2 linked regions of the Arabidopsis thaliana genome follow. The protein of the gene in region 1 interacts with the protein of each later gene in a pairwise test. Each region holds a gene or a part of one and is shown in the gene's direction. Other genes may lie near its edges.

Region 1 (9,450 bases):
ACTGTATCGTCTTCGGATAAATATCTTGTGGAGGATGCAAAGAGTAATAGTTCTCGGTATGATGATGATGATGATGATAGTGATGGTACTTATCTTGATGCAACTGATACACTTTCAAGAACTGAGTCATTCTTCTTTAACTGTAGTGCTGTTAGTGGTGCGAGTGGTTTGGATGGTTCAGGGATACTAGTAGAGCCATTTGGAACTTTATCGACTGATCGACAAACTCAGGATCTAATGATGGGGAGATTCTTGCCTGCAGCTAAAGCTTTGACTTCAGAATCACCTCCACATCTTGCTAGGAAACCACCTAAACCAGAAGAACCGGTGAAGCAGTTGATGAAGAAGAAACAGAACAAAGTGGAGCAAAATCCGTATCGGTTTCGTCATTCGCCTGATCAAGAAGAGGAAGATGGAAATATAAGCAGCATGATGGCGTCTGGTGTTTGTGGATTACTCCCTCAACTCTGCTTGAGAAGCTCTTTGGGACTATTGAATCCGGTTCCATCTGTGAGAATGCAGCAACAAAGAGCTGTTTCTGTTCGTCGTATGCGGTCTAAGTACCAAGATTCTGCACCTTCTAATGAAACTCATAACAAGGTAATTGATTCCCTCTCCTTCTCGCCACCTCGTTCATCATTACACTGAGACCTTTTCTCTCATCAAATTTCTTTTATATTTTTCTCTCTATAGCAAAATGAAGATAAGAGGAAGTTGAAGCTAATTGAATCAGTTGCAAAAGGGTCTTCTCAAGGTGAGTCATTATCAGTATCTTCTATACCACAAGGAAAAGAGAAACTCGAGAACGTTGGCACCGCTTCACGCAGTAAAATCAGTAAAAACTTTGGTGAGCTCTTGGCTAGTGATGAGAATACATGGGAACCTTCATCCGAGACTCCTGTGGCAGAGAAAACTCTGTATGTAGACATTGTGCATCTAGTAGATAAGAAGGTACAAGAAGAGTCCAAGAAGCAGCCTATATTGAAAGAGTCTCCTTCACTAGACATTGTTCCTGTAAAAGATGAAGAAGCTGATATCTCGCAGCCTAAAAGCATTGAGCAAGAGAATGGTAACAGAGATGAGGATTTCACTAAATTCTCAAGTCAGAAAGTTGAAGAATGTCCTGATCATCAAGCTATTGTTGCACTGCCAGAATCCGATGTGGTAGAGATTACAAAGGAGAAGAAGATTGATCTTGAAGTTCAGTTGCAAGTAATCACAACAAATATTGAAAGTTCAAGGCTTCATCATCGTTCAAGTTATCTCATTGTTCCTCCACCACCATTACCAAAAGCTCCTTCAGATTCTTGGTTAAAGCGTACATTACCAACAATACCACCAAAAAACAACTCATTCGCATGGTTACAGTCTCTTGGCACTGATGATGATAATCACTTTACCAAGACTCAAGCTAATCCAAAGTGGGAAACTATGGTCAAAACGTCCAATACACAGCAAGGGTTTGTGTGCTTCTCCAAGGTAAAAAAAAAAAAAAGAAACGTCCAATACTTTCACAAATGTGTCTTAATTTTCAAAGTCAATGCTTGGCAAAATGTGTTAATACTTGTTGATCCTGTTTTGTTCTTTCAGGAAACACTAAACCCTATACCAGAGTCATAGCAAGACCAAAACAAAATTCTCACTGGTGGTAATGAAGAAACTGTAAAATTTTTCACACCAAATTACATGTAAATTTTCAACAATAAAGAAGGGATGAGCCAATAAAGTTTGGGTATTTTGTCTTTAACTATTTGTGTAAATCTGAATCAAAAAGATTCCATGATAAAGAGAAAGCAATGGAGATAAATGTCTTAAATATTGTCTGGCACTTAAGGAGAGGTTTCTTGTTGAAGTGATGTACAGCTCATGTTAACGGAGATTTCATGGCAATAATTCCATGTGACACTGCTTCTTTATTCTCTACTAATAGACTTTTTTTTTTCGTTCTTTTGTAATTATGGTTTCAAAATATAGAGCTCACTAGAAAGGAAACTTGAAAGCTGCAGAATTGAATTGAATTGAATACCTTGACTAAATTAGTCACTAGAGGAATTATTGAAACAATATTGGTGTGAAAATGTTCACATTTCATCTCTTATTCTCTTTATATATATAGTGGCATGGAAGATCACATGCAAATATATGAGTGAAGAGAAATTTAAAAAACAATATAGAGAGAGAGTGAGAGGTTTCTTTATCAGTTAGTTTGACATGAAAGAAGCTGCTGCTTTTGGGGGTGTTTTGTTCTTGATTTTCATGTTTCTTCTGTCGTTGTTACTTGTAACCATGGCCGTATTTGCTTGCTCCAAAAAGAAGGAAAAGAAGAAGGATTCAAGTTGCTGTTGCTGCTGTAAAGGTGGCGTTTTTGGCGGTTGCAGTGGTGATGGTGGTGGAGGAGGAGGGGGTTGCTAGATAAGTAGATATATCACTTGGGTACTGTTTCCGTACGTATTTGAATTTATGACCAATTTGCTTAGAACATCTAGGCATTACCTAAAGAACAACATGTGCCTAATCTTATTATCGTTATGCTAAAGTAAAATCAAATATCTATTTGATATTAGTATGATCGGATCCGATTCTTGCATCATCCTACTATCAGTTTCATTCTACTTTAATAGTTCCATCGTTTGTATTTTTTCTGCACAAACTAATCATCTTAATGAATAATTTTATCACCATATCATGTTAAAAGAAAATTTCGACGTAAATATATCATGTCATGATGTATACAAGAGAAAAATATATCTCAATCATAGTTTTTGTATGTATATATTTTAACATTGTTTTGATGTTATTTGTCCATAGTGTTGGTCGTTGGAATCCAAATAGCGAGTTATTATTAAACAAAATGTTCCAAGAAATTGATTATGATCGTCATTCGTCCATGTGCTAAGTCCACTCCCCTTATTCTAAGACTTTTATCCATCCTTTAAATTGGACCAAATATTAAAAGTCAAATATGTAGCCATCTGGCTCCAGAGAACACCAATTTTTTTTCTAAAATGACAAAAACTTAGAAGATTCAAGATTCAGAAAACACATACGTAACGTAAGCCAATATTTTTCCATTCAAAGAGTTTACCGATAGCGAATAAAAACTGTTAAAAAAACTAGAATGAATACTGTAAACAATTTATATTAGTAGATAGATTAAAGAGTTTTTAAAATTGTGGTAAAACTCCAAAACAACTATTAATCTGAAAGAGAGTAGTTGTTGTTAGTTTACCCAAATTATCTGATTGTGTGAATGTAGTAATCTCCACAATAAATTGCATTATGGTATTATTACGGAGTTATCAGACTTTTCACTTCACCAATCACTGTGCTTATTAAATAATGACTACTTAATAAACAGATTAGTGTTTCATTGGAGCGTAAGAATCACGCGCTAAACTTACGCGTGGGTTTCCTCTTTATCTTTAAAAATTTTCTCAAGTTTAGACAGAACACCAGGTAATAGAGAGAGAACAAAATAGTCTTTACTCTTTCAGTGAGAGAGAGAAGTTAGAGCTGTAAAAGCACATGACTTCGATACCATTGGGGCCTCCTCAGCCTCCGTCTTTAGCTCCTCAGCCGCCGCATCTTCACGGCGGAGATTCTTTGAAACGTCGTCCCGATATAGACAACGACAAGGTTAGTTTTTTCTTCTCTTATAACTTGAAACGTTTGTGTGTATCTCTCTCTCTCTCTCTCTCTCTCTCTCTCTCTCTCTCTCTCTCTCTCTCTCTCTGATTGATTCTTTCGTGAACAATGTATTTCAATTTTCGTTTTGTGGGTTTTCTAGATCTAGCTCGGATTTTGCTTGTTTCGATGTGTTAGTCAATCGATCTGTGTTCCTTTTTAGTCAGCGTTCTTGATTTGAGCTCATTGAAGATTGTGCATTTTGACTTCATAGTAGCTAGTTTTACTTTTCTTCAGCTGAAATTTTCAACCTTTTTTGTAGTGAAGATTGATCTCTTGAGCTGTTTTTGATTAGTAGCAGTAAACCTTCGAACCCTAAAGAAGAAATTAGGGTAAATAACAGAAATTTTCTAGTAATAACCCTTTGAACCCTAAAGAAGTAACCTCATAGTTTGGGTGTTAAATTTAACACTTTTGACTTCACAAAGTACTTGTGTATCTTCGAGTTTTTTTTCTTCTTTTTCCTGACAGTTTTTGGAGTATTCGTTTAGATTATATGATTCTTGGCCCATTCTGTATTGATTCTGAACTCTTTTCTTTTGTTTTATGTTCTTTTGCTTTGTTTCTCCACCTGACAGTGTCTGTTCCATGTTGTGTCTGATTGTATCTTTTGATTTTGTACAAGTTTCTTATGTCCACAAAATGGTTGACATCTTAATCTTTCTCTACTCTTGAAGTTACAGTTATCATTTTTTAGCTTTCCTTTACCTGTAACAACTAGTATAGTAGTATGCATTTGTTTTCTGAATTTTGTTAGCCTCTGGTCAACAGGAACTTGCGACATCATTTAGATTTACATTTAGTTATCTTACATGATTGAATTCTCTGTAAATTGGGCATTGACTGTTCTTAGATTTGAATGCTATTTTAAAGGAAAGTTTATATTCTGGAAGATTTCATACACTTGATAGAACTGATTGAAAAACGATTCGAATATTTTGAATTATTTGTCTATTCAATCAATATACATCGGAGGAAACACTAATTGTTACTACTTTCCTTCATTCTTTGTAGACAAGAATAGTTTTAACTCCTGTAATAATATGTTCACGTTTGATTTTAGGAAATGTCTGCTGCTGTTATAGAAGGAAATGATGCTGTTACCGGTCACATAATTTCTACTACAATTGGAGGCAAAAATGGTGAACCTAAACAGGTTGGATTCTGTTGTTTATTAAATCTTTGTAATGATTTAAATCATAGTTATTGCTCGAGCACACTACCATGTATAAGGTTACCTAAGGTTTGGATTAATCTATAGAAATTCAACAAATAAATAAATAGGTTTTTACATCTTTTGACTTTGTGGCTCCTTTTTTCCAACTCTAAGTTCTACTCTCTAATGTTTTCATCCCTCTGGCCTTTACAGACCATTAGTTACATGGCCGAACGTGTTGTTGGAACAGGATCATTCGGAATTGTATTCCAGGTATCATTGTGCTTGTCACTGTCTACAGGCAAATGGCTTTTTGTCTTTCCTTTCTGATCAGATTGTTAACTTACCATTCTAGGCAAAATGCTTGGAAACTGGAGAATCAGTAGCCATTAAGAAGGTTTTGCAAGATCGCCGTTATAAAAACCGAGAGTTGCAATTAATGCGACTAATGGACCATCCAAATGTGGTTTCCTTGAAGCATTGTTTCTTCTCTACAACGACTAGAGATGAGCTCTTCCTCAATCTCGTTATGGAGTATGTACCAGAGACATTGTACCGGGTTTTGAAGCACTATACTAGTTCAAACCAGCGGATGCCTATCTTCTATGTCAAACTTTACACATACCAAGTATGCATTGTTATCTACTCTTTCCCCAATAAATACTCTTTACTCTGTTGTGTTTATCCTAAAACTGTTTATAAAATATGTTGTGCAGATCTTCAGAGGCTTGGCTTATATCCATACTGCTCCTGGTGTCTGCCACAGAGATGTGAAACCACAAAATCTTTTGGTACGTTGATCTATTGTGGGTTTTGTCTTTGGTAACCTTGACTAGATTGTAATCTTATTCTCTGTATGTTCTGTAGGTTGATCCCCTCACCCATCAGTGTAAGCTCTGTGATTTTGGAAGTGCAAAAGTACTGGTAAGAGGTTTAGACTTTTATTTACCCCATTTGTTGTTTGTCTTTTCCACTGTGCTTGTGTCTTTGCATGCAGTAGTTAAAAACTCCAATTAAGTGAATATTATGCAAGTAATTTACATAAGTATGGATGCAGTTTCAGATATTTCTCTGTTAGCCTGATATTTGCAACATTTGGCTTTTTATATTAGGTGAAAGGTGAAGCAAACATATCATATATCTGCTCTCGGTATTACCGAGCTCCAGAACTCATCTTTGGTGCCACAGAGTATACATCATCCATTGATATATGGTCTGCTGGTTGTGTTCTGGCAGAGCTACTTCTTGGGCAGGTTAGTGTAAATTTCTAACCTGTTGAGTATCTTGAGAACTAAAGCATCTCTCCAAAATCTTCTGTAAACAATGTGGTATTATTTATCTTCACAGCCGTTATTCCCGGGAGAAAATTCTGTGGACCAGCTAGTGGAGATCATAAAGGTGAACTCTTCTTTTATTATATTTTGTTTTGGCGTCATTTCCTGTCTGTGCTCATGATGTGCTGTGTTGGTTTAGGTTCTTGGTACTCCAACTCGCGAAGAAATCCGGTGCATGAACCCAAACTACACAGACTTCAGATTCCCACAAATCAAAGCCCACCCTTGGCATAAGGTAATATATATATATGCATGTCACTTTCGAACTTCTTTCTAATCATACAATTGCTTACTTCTCTACCTAAACAACATTCATGGAAAAGAAGCTAACACGGTGCACAACTGCTCTATGACCTCCAGGTTTTCCACAAGCGGATGCCTCCGGAAGCCATTGACCTTGCATCTCGGCTTCTTCAATACTCACCAAGTCTACGTTGCACTGCGGTTGGTATTTCTAAACCAAGTACTCTTAATTGTTACAGTGGTTCTCTCTGGCTTCTTTGGACCATACACTGTTCAATGAAGGAGTGAAATGTTGTTTTTCAACTGACTTGTTTGTTTGCCGTCTGAAGCTCGAGGCATGTGCGCATCCGTTTTTCAATGAACTCCGTGAGCCAAATGCTCGTCTTCCAAATGGCCGACCTCTACCACCGTTGTTCAACTTCAAACAAGAGGTATGTTAAACCATTCCAAAATCACTTTTCCTTCAACCAAACATAACTGAATGTGCATACAGTTACTCAATCTGTTAGCTCTCTCTTTGACTATTGAAACAGTTGTCTGGGGCTTCACCGGAGCTTATCAACAGGCTAATACCAGAGCATGTGAGGCGACAGATGAATGGTGGCTTTCCATTTCAAGCTGGACCCTAGAAAAGCGATCTCGAGATGCTTTTCCAGAGCAAAATGCCGCCTTATGGAATGAAGGAGAGGGAGATTTACTTCTCTCTGATTAACTAAGTATCAGCTTCTGAGAAGAGATGATGTCTCCTCCTTAGACGTGGCCAATTCAGCTTTTTGAGAAATCAGGAGGCGATGATTGTGTCCTATTATATTCTTTTTGTTCACTGACTTGTAGAGAGATACTTTTCTCCTGTATCAGTATTTGTATATGTTTTTGTCCTTGAAATGAAACAAAATCGATTCCAAACTGCAAGTCAAATAACCGAAATGATGAAATGAAATCATGATAATCTAAAGTTGCCTACGGTAAAAGTAAAAACTAAAAACATTTGAAATCAATGAGCTTGAGGATAAAATTTTGCCAGCATTGGCATTGTAACGTTGAAAGGAAACAAGCACAAAAAGAGCAATTGAGAAGAAAGAAAACAATCCGAATTTTGTATATCCAAAAATCCATCGTTTAGGCTTTGCTTTTATTGCCCAGCTAACGAAAAAATGCGCTAATAAATTACTGTTTATGGGTAAACTTTCAGTTCCCACAAAACCAATTGCAGAAGTACAAATCTAGCCTCCTGTCTTATTGACTCTTCAAACAAAATTTGTATGTTTGGCTGAAACATGTAAGTAAATGATTTAAGATGACTTGGTGACTTCATGTATAGCATTCGCAAGGTATCCCACGTTTCCTGTTGTAACACCAGCCATACTGCAACCAAACATCAAGAGCCTCAATGATTAGGAAATGGCTTGCATTGAAATTAAGCATGTTGATGTTAGGAAATGGATTGCATTGAATGTGAGCTGAAAGATTTCTAATCAGGAGAAAGTGAAGTACCTGATACGGCCGTTACGGGTCATATAGATGTGATATTCGCTTGTTAAGCGGTCAACCTGTTCTGGTGTTAACCCACTGTAGCAGAACATTCCAATCTGTTATCACCATAAAGATATGACTGTGTGAGTCAAAGGAGAGAAATAACAAGAATTTCACAAAAGAAGCCTATTTTGTTGTTGTAGTTACCTGTTTGGTAACGTGCTCCCATGACAAAGGCGATCCTAACTTCTCAAGGCTTTCTCGCAAAGTAGTTCTCATGCCGATGATCCTATCAGCCATGACCTGTTACAGATTTTACATATGGCTTATCAGATTTTAATTCCATAGTTGATTACTAAACATAAAAGAGTGAACATGGGATATAAGGTAATTGAATGAAAGAATTAGCATTTTTTCATAAATGTTACCTTAACTTCTTTTAGCCACAGACTCTTTAACTCTGGGTCTTCAAGAATGGTTGAGACCAGCTGAGCACCATGCAAAGGTGGGTTGCTGTACATTGGTCTAGCTAGCTGCTGCAATTGACTTTTCACAGCCACGGCTTGCTTCGGATCTTCACAAAGCACACTGCAGTAGAAGACAAAGTTGTCATGTTCATATTCAGTTTTTACTTCATCACTAAATGAACCTGTATGATGGCTATTTCATACAATTTGTTGACGCCTACAATCCAAATTTTTAAAATGCTGATATCTGTACTTTCTAATTTCCATATTTTCCTTCGTGTAGGAAGAAAACGATGTTCTTTGTTGAGAAAAATGAATACCTGAGACATCCCACCCTCTGGCCGTAGAGTCCCATGTTTTTTGCATAGGACTGAGAAATTCCAATATGATGACCATCTTCAAGAAAGATCCTGATGGACTTGGCATCTCTCGCTGGATCTCCACTAGCAAAACCTTGGTAAGCCATATCGAAGAATGCGAAATGCTTTTTAGCCTGAAATGAGAACTCGATGTTAGTCTGCAGAGGGCTGATCAAGGAGAAATAAAGTCAATGATAGACAGATAACTATAAGAAACTGATGAGTTATCACCTTGAATAGCTGTGATATCTCTCTCCATTGTTCCTCTGTAGGGTCTACTCCAGTAGGATTATGAGCACAAGCATGAAGAAGGAAGAATGACCCTTCCGGAGCATTCTATGGAAAAAGGCTTAACAGAATTAGGATGTTAACAAGAAGAAGTAAAAAAGATGCTAGTTGAAGAAGATGTTCTTTGCTAACCTTCACATCATCCATCAATGCTGAGAAATCCAAGCCCTTGGTTTCTGGATGATAGTAATGATATGTCTTTTGAGGGACTTGTGCATCTTTCCAGATGTTGTGGTGGCTATTCATAAGAGAAAACATAAACCATGTTATTTTTGGGAAGCAAAAGAAGCTTGGCCACACTTACAAAGTAGACCGTTGAGGTTAACATGAGAAATGATCAAATCAACTGTAGGAAACTCACTTGGACCAGGTTGGAACAGGAATGTAGATCTGTGAACCAGGAGAAAAACGTTTCTGGAAGTCTGCAAAGAGCCGGCAGGCTCCAG
Region 2 (8,575 bases), on another chromosome or scaffold:
CTCACAAAATCATCATTCGCAAATTCCCATTGCTCAGGATCAGCTTTTCTAAAACCCTACACACAAAAACAAATTCCACTAAGAAGATGATTGATTTAGTCAATACTTTTAAACAAAGCATGAAAACACTTACATATGTGTTAAGCTGGCGGATAAAGCTAGAGAAGTTATTGTGCTTGAAGAATCTCGGAAGAAGATCTCTAGAAAACTCCGGCGGATTCCAAACGATGAAACTCTTATTGCTCTGACTCCAAGAGACGATAGAATCGGATGAAGAATCATCAACCATCTCATATGTTTTGGTGAGGAAAGGTGGAAGTGAGCTTGATGAAACTCCATGATTATTCTCATCCATCTCTGAAAACACTTTTAACAACTCTCACACTCCTTGATTCAATCTACTCACAACAAAGCTTACAATCACACTCACAAAAACAGAGCCAAAAACAGAGCAAGAGACTCTTTTGATCAAACTATGAAAGTTTCAATAACCAAAAAAGATAAAAACTTTCAATTCAATAACTTCAGTACACAGAAACTACAGTTAAGGAGGACTCAAAGAACTTACTATCAGTAAGTTTCGATCAAAATCAGAAGCCCAAAATTCCCTCCAAAAAAAGCTTCGAACTTGAACAAAGTGAAAGACTAAAAACTCACCACTGTTTCTAAATAAAAGACAATCAAGCAAAAGCTTCTAAGAACCCCTAAAACCCTTGTAAAATTCAACGAATCTAGAACCCTTTTAGCATTAAAATCAAAAAGAAGAAACCCTTATTAGCTTCTCGAACCCTCTCTGCTTCTCGAACCTAAACAGCTTCTGGACTTGGGTATATATATTTTAATCAGACAAGAGAATTTCAAGCAGCAATAATTTGTCTGCTTCTGTATCTCTATCTATACCATTATTGCTGCGGAAATATCAGAGAGAGAGAGAGAGACTCTTTGAGGAGAGAAGACCGTAGAAAAGTAAACGAGTCGATTGACCCGGTGGGGATTTACGACGACGACGATTCGTCAAACCTTTCGTCGATTTTTTATATAACTGATTAGCGATTAAAAACGCGTAAACGATAACAAAAAACGAACAGTTTCTGAGGGATTTGTGATTATACGATTTAGCTTTTGATTACAAAAAGGTTGATGAAGCAAGTACGAATCAGAACAGAACAGCTGTTTCATAGTTTTACAAAGATTGGGTTTGGTGGAATGTTTTATTATTTTATTATTATCAAAATCACCCCATGAGATAATGATAGAGCTGTTTTTGGCATAAAGTTTATTTCTTTCAATTATATAAAAATGTGAATAGTCAATGAATATAAGCATAGAGATCTTGTTTGTTTGTTAATGTAGAAGCATTTATGGCCGTAAGAAAATTCGTTGTTGATCTCTTTTTGGGGTTTATAAACTAAAGAAAAGTCTTTGATTTTTATTTGGAGGACACGAAATCGAAAAGTCTTGTTTTGAAGGATATTCAATTGTGTTTGGCATTTGGTAAATATCATGCCTCCTTTAGTTTTTTCTTTTGGGGTTTTTTTTTCTGTCGAACATCTGAATGTTTTTTTTAAATAATTTTGATGTGCATACGTAAACAAAGATTGAATTAAGGCAGTATCGTTAGTGCAAGAAAAAGTCGGATCAAACCTGAAATATTAAAGTGCTTAGCTTATTAATATATGTTAGTGTAAGATCACTACTTAGCTTATTCAAATGCTATTGAAACGGGATTTCTAAATTCATGTCCAACATTAATTCACTACTGTTTGAGGTAAAAGAACATTGTGGTATTAATCCGGTTCGATCGTTGCACAATATTGATATTTCTTTAAAGAAAAATGCACACGTATGTGCTTAGTTCACTGTCCCCGTCAACGCTATATTACAATATTCCAATACCAAAAATCAATTTAAAATGTTTTAAATTAAAATTAATTCTGCTATAGTATTCACATCCAGTAAGACTAAGACACAGTAAAAAAAAAAGGATCAATAACCTAATTACATTATAGAAATCATAGATAACCAAAAATTGTAGATAACCTACATGTAATCGCAAATACGTATAAAAATGTTAAAATTTGTAACATATAATGTGGTTTATTATTGGTTGTGAATAACTTCTACATGGAATTTAAAAATTACTTTGATAAAGATGAAATATATTGTTTCAACTAATTTGGGTCCCAACTATTGTGGTCGGAGTAGGACGAATTGAGTCCTTCGTTAACTTGTAGTGTTATTGAAGTCATATAAACACAAAATTAGACATATTACACAACGTGTGTTAGTTGATATATATACTTAAGTACACCATATATAGAGAGAATAAGGCAAGTGTGGAATGTTGATAGTACTACACAAATATATAGAGATAAAGGCAAGTGTGGAATGTGGATAGTACTACTACAAAATATTTATTAGTGTCGGATAATAAAAGGCATGTGTAGACAAACACACAAATTGTGTTGTACGTTATAAGAAACTTGGAATCAAAGATGTGTTCTATTTAGCAGTGGTACGAATATTTTTATTGGTTGGGTAACAGATGGTATAAATGTCAAAGAATAGCATACTTATTCTAATTGTTGTCACACACACAAAAAAAGCATACTTATTCTAATTACTATACTTAGGCCATCTCCAACGTAACGGTAAAACTGTATTTTGATGTGATGCAATATACTTTTTCACTCCAACCCAACTGTAAATATTACACTATAATAGTGTGATTCCTTTATTTTGTACAGTACTCCACTATATTTGGCGTGCTACTGTAGCAACGGTAAAATTAAATATATATTTTTTTTTACTTTAAAATTATTACATATGAATATAGCTTATTTAGGTATAGCATATTAAATATGATTTGTATTGTCATCTAATAATTTAATTGAATTTTGTAAGTAAAAAAAAAAAATATCAAAACTATTTATGTATTTTTAATTTTGATAATATGATTATGAAATATTAATCAGTAGAAGATATAAAAATTATAACAAAAGATTTATTGAAATTACATAATAAAATTCAATTAACCATTGAAAATATAAACTTACAAAATTTAAAGCTATTTTGATATATAGATTGTAATTTGTATTAATCAATAAATTAAAAATATTAAATATTAAAAATAATATTTGGTTTAATAATATAATAATAGAAAATATTATTTTTAGTGTGATATATAGTGTTGTGGTTGGAGATTGAAAATATTTTAGTGTTGAATCTACACCAAATATAGTGTTATTTCAGCACCAAAATAGTGTTATGGTTGGAGATGCCTTTAAGACTAAAAAGTAATTAATGAAAAAGAGCAAAGGAGTCACGAGCAATGACAAGTTGATGGCAAGCAGATCGAGAGCATCACGTGACCCACCCGATTTAACGGTCATGATTGGATTTTTTGTGATCCCACGAAAGGTGACCTGTCACATTTTGTAGATGCCGCAATCTCTGCCACGTATTTTGGACTCGCAGTTATTTTAGTTAACTACGTAATTAGTTTAGCTAAATTTATATATTAAGTGTAGCATGATTTTATTCATAGTCTCTATTGGATGTGGATAGTCCGTAGTTGGAAAATGCTGTCATTGAATAAGCATAAAGTTGTAAAATGATAAAATTAGTTATTGTAGAAGCTAGATTTTATTATACACAAAAATAGTGTTTGACACAAAAGAAAAGTTATTATAAAAGCAGCTTGATAGTCTTGACCTTTGAATTCTCAAAATGTAAACACAAACTGTGTCGCATTTCGATTTTCCTGCTTTATTAAAAAAGCCTGAGCACGTGTTAACACATATGGGACATCCTTGTAAATTACAACATACTTTAAGGGTAATTTCGTCTTTTCACAATCAGACTTCTTTTTTCTTCACCCTGTTAAGTGCTTCTTCATTTATTACTCCACCAGAAAAAACTCAGAACCAGAAAAAGGAACAAAACAAAAATAAAGCGCGAAATTAGTTTTCACCGGCGAGATTTTTTATCCTCTCTACGAGATAACACTTAGAAGAAGAGGCAGTTAAAACAGAGAGACGACGTCGTGTTATTTTTCCAAATTCCGGTGATCTGAGAATGACGTCGGGGACTAGAACGCCGACTTGGAAAGAGAGAGAGAACAACAAACGGCGAGAGCGGCGAAGACGAGCGATTGCGGCTAAGATCTTCGCAGGACTAAGGATTCATGGAAACTTCAAGCTCCCTAAACACTGCGACAACAATGAAGTCCTCAAAGCTTTATGCAATGAAGCTGGTTGGACTGTAGAAGACGACGGAACTACTTACCGCAAGGTAAACCAAAAAAAAAATCTCGATCCTAAATTTCTTGAAAAATATTATCGATTTTGTAGATTTTTTTAAGGATTATTAAAACTGTGAATAGATCTAACCGTTCGATTTTGCTGAGAGAAAAAAAATCGACGGTTGGGATTTAGTTTGACTGGTTTAGTTAGTCATAGCAAACGTCAGATCGAAACCGTTCCGGTGAACTGAAACAAAAGCATGAATGTCTTAAGATTCGCTGATGCTTTCACACAAACTCTCTGTTCACTTTCAGATGAGAATTATACGTAGTGACCACATTACCCTTACTAATCACATGGTCTTACAATAATATTTAGGGTAATATCGTCATTTAGTGAGGTATTATAGAAAATGTGTAAGCTTTGAGAATTTTTCTTTTTGTGTTTTTCTTTGGTCACACAACCTTTTGCTTTATAATTGAAACTTTAGGACACGTCTGTTTCACGAAAACTGCCATTGGTAATGGGTTTAGATTCCTTTGTACAACGATCGAGGTAAACCTTTTTTTTTTCTTGCTCACATGTTTTTTTTCTTTACTTTTCAGACTGACACTTTCTCTGAAATTCGAATTTTGCTTTTTGTTGAATCATAACTTTTCTTCATTTGCTTACGTTCACACTTACATTAACATAAGATAACTAACCTGTCAAAAAGACTCAAATTTTAGCTTATGTTGCTGTGGATTTAGTATTTACCAGAAAAAGCTATATTGTGTCAAGAAAATAAAAAAGGGACTTGGGATTCTTGGCTCGTGTGATTCAGTAGTTTCCATGAGTGTTTATTTTTGTTTTGTTATATACTTAAATTAGTACTATGTTAACTGTCTTAATTCTTGTTTAGCTGGTCAATGGTGAGACTGAAGAAATGATTTCCCCTTTTGCCAACATCTAATGATGATGTTTGGATTTTGCTTGTGTGGGGATAAATAAAATGGAATTATTCATTGTTTGACCATTAGATGCCAAAGAAAATCATTGTTCTTTTACTTTTTTCTTTCCTTAGTTGCATCTGGATTTTCAATTTTTCAATCATTGTGTCATCTTGTTCGTTGCTCACCAGCTTTTGCATTTCGTAAAATGGAAAAAGAAAAAAAAAACACATTTTTATGTAAATAATCTATGAGGTATTCTCGATCCATTTAGCAAAGATTAGTTCTTTGAGCACTATATACCAAATAAAATCATTGTTTTTTCTCACTTTTTTGCTTAGGTGCATTTTGGTTTTCAACTATCAATCATAGTGCTATCTTGTTCATGCTCTACAGCTCTTACATTTCGTTAAAAAGAAAGAAAAAAAAACATTTTATGCTCTTTTTGTTGTTGTTGATAATCTATTAGAAAAGATTGTTCTTTTGAGATCTTCTGATCCATCCATTAGCAAATGTTGTTCTTTGACCATTATAAAACGAAACAGAATCATTGTTCTTTACTTTTTTTTTTCCTTTGTGCATTTGGATTTTCTATTATCAATCATAATGTCTTTTTGTTTGTTGCTCACCAGCTTTTGCATTATGTAATTAATCCACTAGCAAAAGATTGAGAGAGTCTCAGCTCCAAATGGATTGTGTTGGTTACATTTTGTGATATTTCTTACACAATTTGCAATAAACTATTGTGTAGGGATGCAAACCAATGGATCGAATGGACCTCATGAATGGTTCTACTTCAGCTAGTCCATGCTCATCGTATCAACATAGCCCTCGTGCTTCCTACAATCCAAGCCCTTCGTCTTCATCATTCCCGAGTCCTACAAACCCATTTGGTGATGCTAACTCACTAATCCCATGGCTCAAGAACCTCTCTTCAAACTCACCTTCCAAGCTTCCCTTCTTCCATGGAAATTCAATAAGCGCTCCCGTGACTCCGCCATTGGCTCGAAGCCCTACTCGTGATCAAGTAACCATCCCTGACTCTGGATGGCTCTCAGGAATGCAAACTCCGCAGAGCGGACCGTCTTCTCCTACTTTCAGTTTAGTTTCAAGAAACCCGTTTTTCGACAAAGAGGCTTTTAAAATGGGAGATTGTAATTCACCAATGTGGACTCCTGGACAAAGTGGAAACTGCTCTCCAGCTATTCCTGCTGGTGTTGATCAGAACTCTGATGTGCCAATGGCTGATGGAATGACGGCTGAGTTTGCGTTTGGTTGTAACGCAATGGCTGCGAATGGAATGGTGAAGCCTTGGGAAGGAGAAAGGATACATGGAGAATGTGTTTCAGATGATTTAGAACTTACACTTGGAAACTCAAGAACCAGATGATCATTTCAGAGAAGAATCAAAGTCGTTTGCTATCATTAAGTCTTCTTTTTTGTCTGTCTTTTTTTTCCAGTGTGATGTTTAAAGGTGACTCAGAGGAAAAAAAGGAGAATAGAAAGAGAAACAAAAAAAGAACATTTTGAGCTCTGTTTTCTTTTTTTTTTTTCTTTTTTTTTTTGTTGGCTTTTGACTAAAGTTGTAGTTAGAATCTATTTTATATCTTGAAGCTTCTTTAAAAAAAAAGTTATTTGTGGAAATTCGATTTGAGATTAGTGATGTTAGTATAATGAATTTTATATAAAATATTGAAGCCAGATTGGACTTTAGTAACCATTGTGAACGTGAGAAAATATCAGTATCTATCGCTGAAAATTTTATATTTTTCTATACATTTAAAAGATAACAGAAAAGTGGATTACGTTGAAAGACCAAAGATATGTCCAAGAAGTCATGCGTAACCCAATAGAAAGTCAACTAACAATGAGGACCACATGTGATTGGTCTTGTTAATTAGCGTACGTAAAACGCGACACTATGACAACTCGTACGTAATTTCGCGAATAATATGAATAGTAACTTCAACTGGACTATTTTACAAGTCAACAAATTACTTAGTGGATCCAATTTAAATGTCCAATTGTTCTTATTTGGCTAAAAATGAGGCCCATATATACATAATTTTTTTATATGATTTATTTTTTAATGAATTTATTTAAGAGTATGTAAACAGAACCCTCGCTCTCTCTCGCTAATTTGGATAGATACCTCCGAGCAAGGGTTAAGTGTAAGCCTCGTTTGTATTTGTAACGTAAGTTGTCATCATCGTAAAGAGTTAATCAGGTTAATTATTTTCTTTAGTAAGGAATGTGTTTTACCCGATTCTTCTATCATTATGTTATCTTTGTTGTTGAACCTCTCGATTCTCGACCTTGGATTTTGAAAATTGGTATAATTATTATTTGACCCTTTTTGTTTGTTATGCTTTTCTTTGTGTGTGTGTGTGTGTGTTTATTTGGTTATTGTAATCTTTGGGAATTCTTGTTTTGAGTGGTTTTGGAAGATGTGTCGTGTTAGATGGGGATTTCGTTAGGGTTTCTGTGAGCTAAAAAAGGGTGTATGTTTCTTTCCCTAATTGATTTTCGTTTGTAAATTTATTTTGCAGAATGATAACTACATTTTCATGGATACCAAAAGGGGTTGCAAAGGCCATGCGTGCTGATGAACTTCCTTCTAAGGAGGAAATCGAAATGCACAAAGACAGTTGTAAATATTTCAGTAATGATACAGAAGAAGAAGAGACCGAGGATGAAGAAGAGAATGGTGAAGTTGCTCATGCGAAAGCCGTAGCAGAAGAGTTTGGAAAATCATCCAAAAGCAAGAATGTTTCTTCTTCAATGGAGCTTGATGATGAGGTAGCTGAGGGTTTGAAAGAACTCGACATGGATAATTACGATGAAGAGGATGATGGTAAGTTAGGTTTTAATTCTTTGTTCTCCTATAGATGTGTAGAGAATCTCAAAACTCAATTTATGCTTTCATTGTGTACAACTAAATTAGACTTTCCATTGTTGTGTTTGGATTCAGGAATTGAAATTTTTAGCTCCGGGCGTGGGGATCTTTACTATAAGAGTAACGAGATGGATCCATATCTCAAGAGAAATGATGTAAGTCCTTATCACTAAACTTTTTTTTTATATACAGAGTTACCGGATTTTCTATATAGACACAATAACATCTATGTTTTTCTAGGATCATGATGATGACTCGGATGATGATCCACCAATCTTACCAACCGATTTAGTGATTGTCTGCGCTATGACTGACGACAAAGAAGCTAACCGTCTTGACGTTTGTCAATTATTTCAACATTTTATTTATTTATTTTACTGCACATATATAGATCCGACATTGAAACTTATATGAATGCATGATTAGGTTTATGTATCCGAGGACACATCCCATGGTTCTCCAAATATGTATAATCATCATTACAGAATTATACCAGCAATTCCATT

What was found.
Region 2: the proteins of SKdZeta (region 1) and BEH3 interact in binary tests that used the Arabidopsis thaliana proteins (3 or more experiments, as listed by UniProt).

Annotation. Positions count from the first base shown.
Region 1 is NC_003071.7:13,179,946-13,189,395, reverse strand, and holds SKdZeta (SHAGGY-related protein kinase dZeta), read left to right. Parts: upstream 1-3,422; 5' UTR 3,423-3,525; coding exon 3,526-3,636; intron 3,637-4,747; coding exon 4,748-4,840; intron 4,841-5,053; coding exon 5,054-5,113; intron 5,114-5,195; coding exon 5,196-5,468; intron 5,469-5,556; coding exon 5,557-5,631; intron 5,632-5,707; coding exon 5,708-5,764; intron 5,765-5,952; coding exon 5,953-6,093; intron 6,094-6,187; coding exon 6,188-6,238; intron 6,239-6,313; coding exon 6,314-6,409; intron 6,410-6,534; coding exon 6,535-6,618; intron 6,619-6,746; coding exon 6,747-6,848; intron 6,849-6,950; coding exon 6,951-7,046; 3' UTR 7,047-7,371; downstream 7,372-9,450. Other genes in the region: AT2G30990 (arginine N-methyltransferase, putative (DUF688)), read left to right, coding at 1-600, 694-1,479, 1,591-1,620; AT2G30985 (uncharacterized protein), read right to left, coding at 2,332-2,490; ASP1 (aspartate aminotransferase 1), read right to left, coding at 7,710-7,782, 7,912-8,006, 8,098-8,193, 8,319-8,478, 8,678-8,850, 8,948-9,052, 9,137-9,242, 9,366-9,450. UniProt on the Arabidopsis thaliana protein: May mediate extracellular signals to regulate transcription in differentiating cells.
Region 2 is NC_003075.7:10,348,697-10,357,271, forward strand, and holds BEH3 (BES1/BZR1 homolog 3), read left to right. Parts: upstream 1-3,689; 5' UTR 3,690-4,077; coding exon 4,078-4,293; exon of another isoform or gene 4,294-4,799; intron 4,800-5,924; coding exon 5,925-6,563; 3' UTR 6,564-6,859; downstream 6,860-8,575. Other genes in the region: HSF A4A (heat shock transcription factor A4A), read right to left, coding at 1-56, 134-355; AT4G18900 (Transducin/WD40 repeat-like superfamily protein), read left to right, coding at 7,769-8,027, 8,145-8,224, 8,310-8,408, 8,496-8,575.